Rattus norvegicus: one gene and its partner. The protein of the gene in region 1 interacts with the protein of each later gene in a biochemical or structural test. Links are inferred from orthologs where the notes say so. Each region holds a gene or a part of one and is shown on either strand. Other genes may lie near its edges.

The links.
Region 2: the proteins of Apba1 (region 1) and Cntnap4 form a complex in vitro, tested with the Homo sapiens proteins (2 studies listed by BioGRID and IntAct, with this or other methods). The link is inferred for Rattus norvegicus from reciprocal best matches to the Homo sapiens genes APBA1 and CNTNAP4.

The regions. Positions count from the first base shown.
Region 1 is NC_086019.1:230,926,251-230,930,071, forward strand, and holds part of Apba1 (amyloid-beta A4 precursor protein-binding family A member 1), read left to right. Parts: intron 1-1,801; 5' UTR 1,802-1,872; coding exon 1,873-3,084; intron 3,085-3,821. UniProt on the Homo sapiens protein: Putative function in synaptic vesicle exocytosis by binding to Munc18-1, an essential component of the synaptic vesicle exocytotic machinery. May modulate processing of the amyloid-beta precursor protein (APP) and hence formation of APP-beta.
Region 2 is NC_086037.1:57,732,565-57,736,385, forward strand, and holds part of Cntnap4 (contactin-associated protein-like 4 precursor), read left to right. Parts: intron 1-289; coding exon 290-514; intron 515-2,067; coding exon 2,068-2,201; intron 2,202-3,033; coding exon 3,034-3,121; intron 3,122-3,821. UniProt on the Homo sapiens protein: Presynaptic protein involved in both dopaminergic synaptic transmission and GABAergic system, thereby participating in the structural maturation of inhibitory interneuron synapses.

The DNA of each region.
Region 1 (3,821 bases):
AGGAGGAAAGGGTTGACATCATCTTACAGTCTAGTCCATCCCTGAGAGAAGTCAATGCAGGTAGGTACACACAGGAAGAGACTGAAGCAGAAACCACAAAGAAGTCCTGTTCACTGTCTTGCTCAGTCCCCTTTATTATACAGCCCAGGTTCACCTGCTTAGCAATGGCATGCCCACAGTGGTCTGGGCTCTCTGACATCAGTTGGCAATCAAGAAAAGGCCTCCCAGACAAGGCAGCAGGCCAATCTGAGCTAGGCAATTCCTTACCCGAGGTTCTGTCTTTCCTGGTGACAGGATTGTGTGAAGTTGACAGCCAGAGCTAAGTATGACAGCTCATTTACCACAGGCTTCTGGAAACCCAAAGAAGCCTGCCTGGTTTCTTTGTTCATTATACTCTGTGTCTGTTTCTATATATGCTGTGTATAGGTTGTGCTTAAAGCACACCCGTGTGTGTGTGTGTGTGTGTGTGTGTGTGTGTGTGTGTGTGTGTGTGCGCTCTCGCGCTTTACCAGTATGAGGGGGTACTGGGGATGCAGTACCAGTAAACACACATTTGGAGGCCAGAGTAGGAGCATGTGCATCTTCCTTGATTATGCTCTGCCATAGTGTTTGACAGTCTCTATCTGAATTGGAAGCTCTCCATTTTGGCTAGGCTAGCCAGCTGGCAAGCTCCCAGGATGCACCTGCACCTCTCTCCCAACGCTGCAATTACAGGCATCCACAGCCATGGCTGGCTTTTTTTACATGCTGGACATCTGAACTCAGGTCCTCTTATTTTCACCGCAATTGCTAGCACACACTAGAGCCATCTTCCCTGTCCTTTAAAAGCTACTTTGTGGTGAGAATTGATTAAGAGTTGGAATCCATCTTCCTCTCTAACTGCAAGTTCCCCACAAATAGGTGGAGACCTCCCTCCCCATACATTCTGAAAATTATCCATGTAGTCTAGCCTCAAATGGCATGGCATTCCCAGAATTCCAGGTTTTAGATCAAGGGCACATGGGGAAAGTACTGGAAGCCACCTACTTGGTATATTTATCAGAACTCTGGTTTCTAAGGGGAAAGTGTTTCTGAGTCAAATGAGTTATAATGAACCCTGCGCTTTATAACTTCCTCCCCTCAGATATTCATGGTGAAACGTTAACTGTCACCCAGCTGGTCCCAAGGTTATTTTAACTAGGGATTCCATTTTTCTCCTGTGTTCACCCTACATGTAAGAAAAGAACTCTCATGTCTTTGTGAAGGTCTAGAAAGCTAAACCCTTGTTGGATATAAGAGAACAAAGAGGCTATTGGTGATTACCAGCCTCCTTGGAACCTTACACTCATGGCAATGGCGTCAAAAAGATTGCAATATCACACACACACACACACACACACACACACACACACACACACACAATTTATTTAAAGAATTGCTACTAAAGTCTCTAGGATCTTAGTTTAGAGATATTTATCTTGGAGCAGATATGTCAATGGGCCCACTCAATTGAGTAGTATTCTATCCATAGACCTCAGAAAATGCAACCAGAAGAATATGCTAAGAACAAAGTGCCCGCAAAGCTTCCTATCTGAAGGTTTGGGAGGGTGAAGGCAATAAGCAATTAAGCAAGTAAATTTGCAATTACAAATTACGATACGTGTGTGAAGAGGGCTGTCAGATTACGCTTAAATTTGCAATCATGCCTTAATTGACCCAGATTCAGAAGGGATCAATAGCAAGTGGTTTTATGTCTGTCTGGATGCTCAGCTCAGAGTTCCATTCTGAACCACTCAGCAGCTCCTCTCCTTGATTCTTCCAGGCCCCGTGAAGCCAAAATGAGCACACAGTGAGCCAGCGCAGCCTCTCGCCAGCCATCCCCCGACGCCCACCATGAACCACTTGGAGGGCTCCGCGGAGGTGGAGGTGGCCGACGAGGCGCCAGGAGGGGAGGTGAACGAGTCCGTGGAGGCCGACCTGGAGCACCCCGAGGTGGAGGAAGAGCAGCAGCCGCAGCCGTCGCCCCCGCCGCCCGCAGGTCACGCACCCGAGGACCACCGCGCGCATCCGGCGCCGCCGCCGCCGCCACCACCGCAGGAGGAGGAGGAGGAGCGCGGCGAGTGCCTGGCTCGCTCGGCCAGCACCGAGAGCGGCTTCCACAACCACACGGACACCGCTGAGGGCGACGTGCTCGCCGCGGCCCGAGACGGCTACGAGGCGGAGCGCGCGCAGGACGCCGACGATGAGAGCGCCTACGCCGTGCAGTACCGGCCCGAGGCCGAGGAGTACACGGAGCAGGCGGAGGCCGAGCACGCCGAGGCGGCGCAGCGGCGCGCGCTGCCCAACCACCTGCACTTCCACTCGCTGGAGCACGAGGAAGCCATGAACGCCGCCTACTCGGGCTATGTCTACACGCACCGGCTCTTCCACCGCGCCGAGGACGAGCCCTACGCCGAGCCCTACGCCGACTACGGCGGCCTCCAGGAGCACGTGTACGAGGAGATCGGGGACGCGCCTGAGCTGGAGGCGCGCGACGGCCTGCGGCTCTATGAGCGGGAGCGCGACGAGGCGGCCGCCTACCGCCAGGAGGCCCTAGGCGCGCGGCTGCACCACTACGACGAGCGCTCCGACGGCGAGTCCGACAGCCCCGAGAAGGAGGCGGAGTTCGCGCCCTACCCGCGCATGGACAGTTATGAGCAGGAAGAGGACATCGACCAGATCGTGGCCGAGGTCAAGCAGAGCATGAGCTCGCAGAGCCTCGACAAGGCGGCCGAAGACATGCCCGAGGCGGAGCAGGACCTGGAGCGCGCCCCGACCCCGGGAGGGGGACACCCCGACAGCCCTGGGCTGCCAGCACCTGCCGGGCAGCAGCAGCGAGTTGTGGGAACCCCGGGAGGCAGCGAGGTTGGTCAGCGGTACAGCAAGGAAAAGAGGGATGCCATCTCGCTGGCCATCAAGGACATCAAGGAGGCCATCGAAGAAGTGAAAACCAGGACCATCCGTTCGCCTTACACCCCCGACGAACCCAAAGAGCCCATCTGGGTCATGCGCCAGGACATTAGCCCCACAAGGGACTGTGACGACCAGAGGCCCGTGGACGGAGATGTAAGTATGTATGGGTTCGGGCTGGCTGGACTGCAGGCCCCTGGGGAGGAGAGACTTGAGCTCTGTGGCCTTGCAAGTCTTTGGGAACTTACTTTATGGGATAAATGGTCTGTGGGGGCGCTATGCACCTCCCCATGATGGTTTCCTCCGGTGTGGCACCAGCAAAGGTGCTAAGAATGGACTACTTATCAGTCCTATAAGGCAGCCCTGTGCTTTCTAAATTGTACCAGAAGGGCTTGTTGAGAGTTGCGTTCTTGGGCACATGGCCCTCTTTGTGCTCATTGAGAAAGTCTGAACTGGGGTCCCACAATTTGTATCAGGTCTACATTTTGTAAGAAGAGGCTTGGTTGGAGAGGGTTTTTGCAAAATGGCGTCTTGTTAGTACAAGATCCGCAAGGGTTCCTGGGAGGAAGGAGTACTCAACATGAAAAAGAAGAGGTGTGTGGAAATGGGGTAGCACAGATAGGCATCAGGATAAAGTTTTAGTCAGAGACCAGCCTGTCCTAGGGTGTGTTTCCCTTCCCCCACCCCCTGGGGAAGGAGAGTAACTCCATCAAAGTCAATCTAAGGGCATTTTTTATTTTCCTGGTTTATCAGCAGTTCAACTAATCACACTTAAAAGACAAAGAATAACAATGTGGAGAGTCTCTCAAGCCCTGTCATGAATAAACAGGGGGCATCAGAGAGACTTAGTAAGACGGTTCTTTGCAGTAGACAGTTCCAGGGAGCATCAAGAG
Region 2 (3,821 bases), on another chromosome or scaffold:
CCTAGATATAAAATAATGGATGGGAGTTAGAATTTAAATAAGAAAGTGGATGTTTAACCGGGTAGAAGACAGGAAGTTTGGCTTATGTATAAATTCAGATAAGAGAACACTAATGACTTATATGTCATTCTAACATAAAGGCGACCTCTAAAAGTGCACTGGTTATCTCACCCTGGGACTGTGTCTTCTAGCTGTGTGCTTCATTCTACAACAATGTCCGTCAATGTAACTTAAACAGGCTCCTCGTGTACCTAAAAGAATTTAACGTGCAATCTGCATACCATTTCAGAGATTTCTGCCTATTTTGGATCTGGGTCTTCTGTGATTTACAATTTTCAAGAAAACTATTCTTTAAGTAAGAACTCCAGCTTCCACGCGGCTTCGTTTCATGGTGACATGAAACTGGGCAGAGAGACCGTCAAGTTTAACTTCCGAACTACACGGGCCCCAAGCTTGCTGCTCTATATGAGTTCCTTTTATAAAGAATATCTCTCGGTTATCATTGCCAAAAATGGTGAGTGTGTTTCGGACGAGACAAAAGATTGAGTCTGGACACTGGCACGGTAGAATGCATTTCCTCCCTCTGGGATGTTTGCCTCTAACCTAGAATTAGAGAGGAAACACACGTCTAGGCTTGACTTTGAGTATGATTGCATAGATGAATCCAAAAGGATCCTTTAAGGATGTAAGATGGGTTTATGGCTTTATAGTTTTGGCAGTTTTATATCAGTAATGTAAGATTCGGGTTGCTCCTATATTGTTTGTTTCATATGTTTGTATTATTTTAAACCATTTCTGTGTGTGCATGCACACGCGTGATGCCACAACTGGTGTGGAGTTACAAGAGGTTGTGAACTGCCTGACCTGGGAGCTTGGAGTGGAACTCCTCTGCCAGAGAGCCGTGTGCCCGCTTAACTGCTGAGCCATGTCTCTAGATACTTATATTTTATTTTCGCCAGGAGCTCTTAAGTATTTTGTATGAATATTGATGCAGCTTTGGTGTTCTACTTTAAAATAAAATGTCTCCTTGTGCGCGACACATATTTTCTTCTAATCAAAGATAAAATGCATTCAAGGAGTGTTAATGGACCGGTATTATGCATAAAAATGTCCAGGAGATGACCTCTTGGGCCTAACAGACAATAATGTAGTCATAAGAACTGTTGCTGTATTCATGCAGGGTAATGGTATATGGCTTACAAAATGTGTTTGGTACAGAAATCTTGTCACCGGAAAACGCTTACTACTGTTTTTCTGTGTCTCATGTGTGGATGAAAGATGGATATTTTAGAAATCAATTCTCCAGGTGAGGAAAATAAACTGGCAGAAAAACATCCAACTACATTGGCTCGCTTAAATCAAATGGCCCAAGGGCACTGACTGCCACCATAGGAGTAATTTTGTGTGCCCTCCGTGTCAGCTTCAAGCTCAAAGTTTATCTATACATTGTGGTTAATTCAGGAGGAGTTCTGCAAAACAAATTAATTGAAATGTCTGAAGGCAATTGGATACTATTCATTTGAATAATAAATTTGGCTAAAACTCATTTATTTCACTTTAATTTCCTTCCAAAGTCTACACTCATGGTCCCCTGGAAACAGCTCTGTTTTTGTGTAAAACTACATTTGCTCAAAGTTCCATCCCTCAGTTGTCTTTCCAGGATATGAGAAGGATATTTTTAAAAAGTGAGGTGATGTAGAAAGAATGCTGTAGCAGCATTGAACAGTACATGGCATTGTACCAACACCTCTGGTTGCATTTCTTTTTTGTAGAGATTAGTGTTATGATCTGTACATAATAATGTCAGAATTGACCTATATGATTGACATTAAAGATTTTTTCAGGAGTCAGTTCATGACCAATATGTCTACTCTTGATTTAGAAAATATTGTGATTTCATTAAGGAACTGACTTTCAGAGGTGAGGTTTTGGAGACACGCCCAAATGAGTGCTGGTGAATCTTTCTCTGGAAGTGACTATATTAAAAAAATGGAAAGAACTAGAGTGTTTTATAAGTGGCTTTAAAATGGAATTTTTACTAAAAATGTAACTTCTTTTCTACTTCAGGAAGTTTGCAGATAAGATACAGGCTAAATAAGTATCACGAACCTGATGTCATCAGCTTTGACTTAAAGAGCATGGCCGATGGGCAGCTTCACCATCTAAAGATCAGCAGAGAAGAAGGGATGGTCTTTGTGGAGGTAACAGAGATTCTCCAATGGTCACATGACACCCTGCCATGGGGCACCTAGAGCAGAACGTTAATCATGAATCACAGTAGTAAGGACATCTTCCAGTGGTATTTGATAGACCATAGATAAAACTCGTCAAATGTGGTCAGGTGTTCCCCAACTCCCTCTTTGTGGTTTTGGCAAACCTTTCTGAGGTGTTATTAATATCGGATGCTTAAAATGCCACGCTTGCCTTGCCTGTTTTATTTTGCTCAGAAAGGAAATGATGCCTAGTTTCTCAAAGACCCACTGGTGGGACTATCAGTCCTCATGGGAAACCCACTCACTTTAGATAGGTATAAATGCCGCAATCATCCTACAACAGAAAATAATGACTAAAATATCAGAATAAGTTTGAAGAAAGGATGTGATTCACTGCAAAGTGGAATTACTCATCTTAGCAGCTTTTGCAGAAAACCATTAATGTTTCAGCTCTGCATAGAAGAAAATTTCTTAGCTGCATGACTCCAGTAAAACTCCCAAGCTAAGAAAAATTATTGAAGTGAAAAAATAACACATGTCTTTTTGTTGGCCTTACCAAATTTGGGTTTCTTCTGTAGTGGAGATGGGTCAAACACTAAAGGGAACGATGGTAAAATGAATAGGTATCTAAGCATAGATTAAAAAGCATCCGATTTTGAATTACGTTTTTAAATTTCGCTTTCTTAAGTTATCTTTAAATTTCACTTTCTTAAATTATCATAAAACCCTAATAACAATTTCCTTTTTTTTTCTTTCTTTGCTTCCTCTCATTTTTCTTGCCACAAAACAATGGTTATTTGGATGGCTAATAATTTTATAGATTGATGAGAATACAAGGAGACAAACCTACTTGTCCTCAGGAACAGAATTCAGTGCAGTCAAATCTTTGGTACTGGGGAGGATGCTAGGTAAGTAAAAGAAAGACTCTTTTTCCTACTAATAATGTGTAAGCATGAATCAGAATGCACGCACACACACACACACACACACACACACACACACACACACACACCTTATCATGTCAAAAGGAATATGTTGCCTTATTTTAGTTGGGGAGTAATCAATGCTGGACGTATCTATGAATAGTAGTTATTTCCTTTGACTGAAGACAGCACTGATTTCTGCCACGTGTCAGTCATCATATTCGTGCTAGATAGTTTCATGTCAACTTAAGACAAGCTAAAGTCATCTAAGAGGAAGCAACCTCAATTAAGGAAATGTGTCCATACGATCAGGCTGTCCTCAAGCCTGTAGGGTATTTTCTTAATTAATGATTAATAAGGGAGGTCTCAGCCCATTGTGGGTGGTGCTATCCCTGGGCTAGTGGTCCTGCGCTCTATAAGAAAGCAGGCTGAGCATGGCCTGTGCATCAGTTCCTGCCTCCAGGTTCCTGCCCTGTTTGACTTCCTACCTTCACTGCTTTTGATGATGAACTGTCATATGGAACCGTGAGTGAAATAAATCATTTCCTCCCCAAGTTGCTTTTGGCCATGGTGTGTCATCACAGCAATGGTAGCCCTAACTAAGGCAATAATGAAGCATGTATTTTCCTCCGTCAAACATATCCAGGGAGGAACAGCCATGGATATATCGGTCAGCTGCTACTGT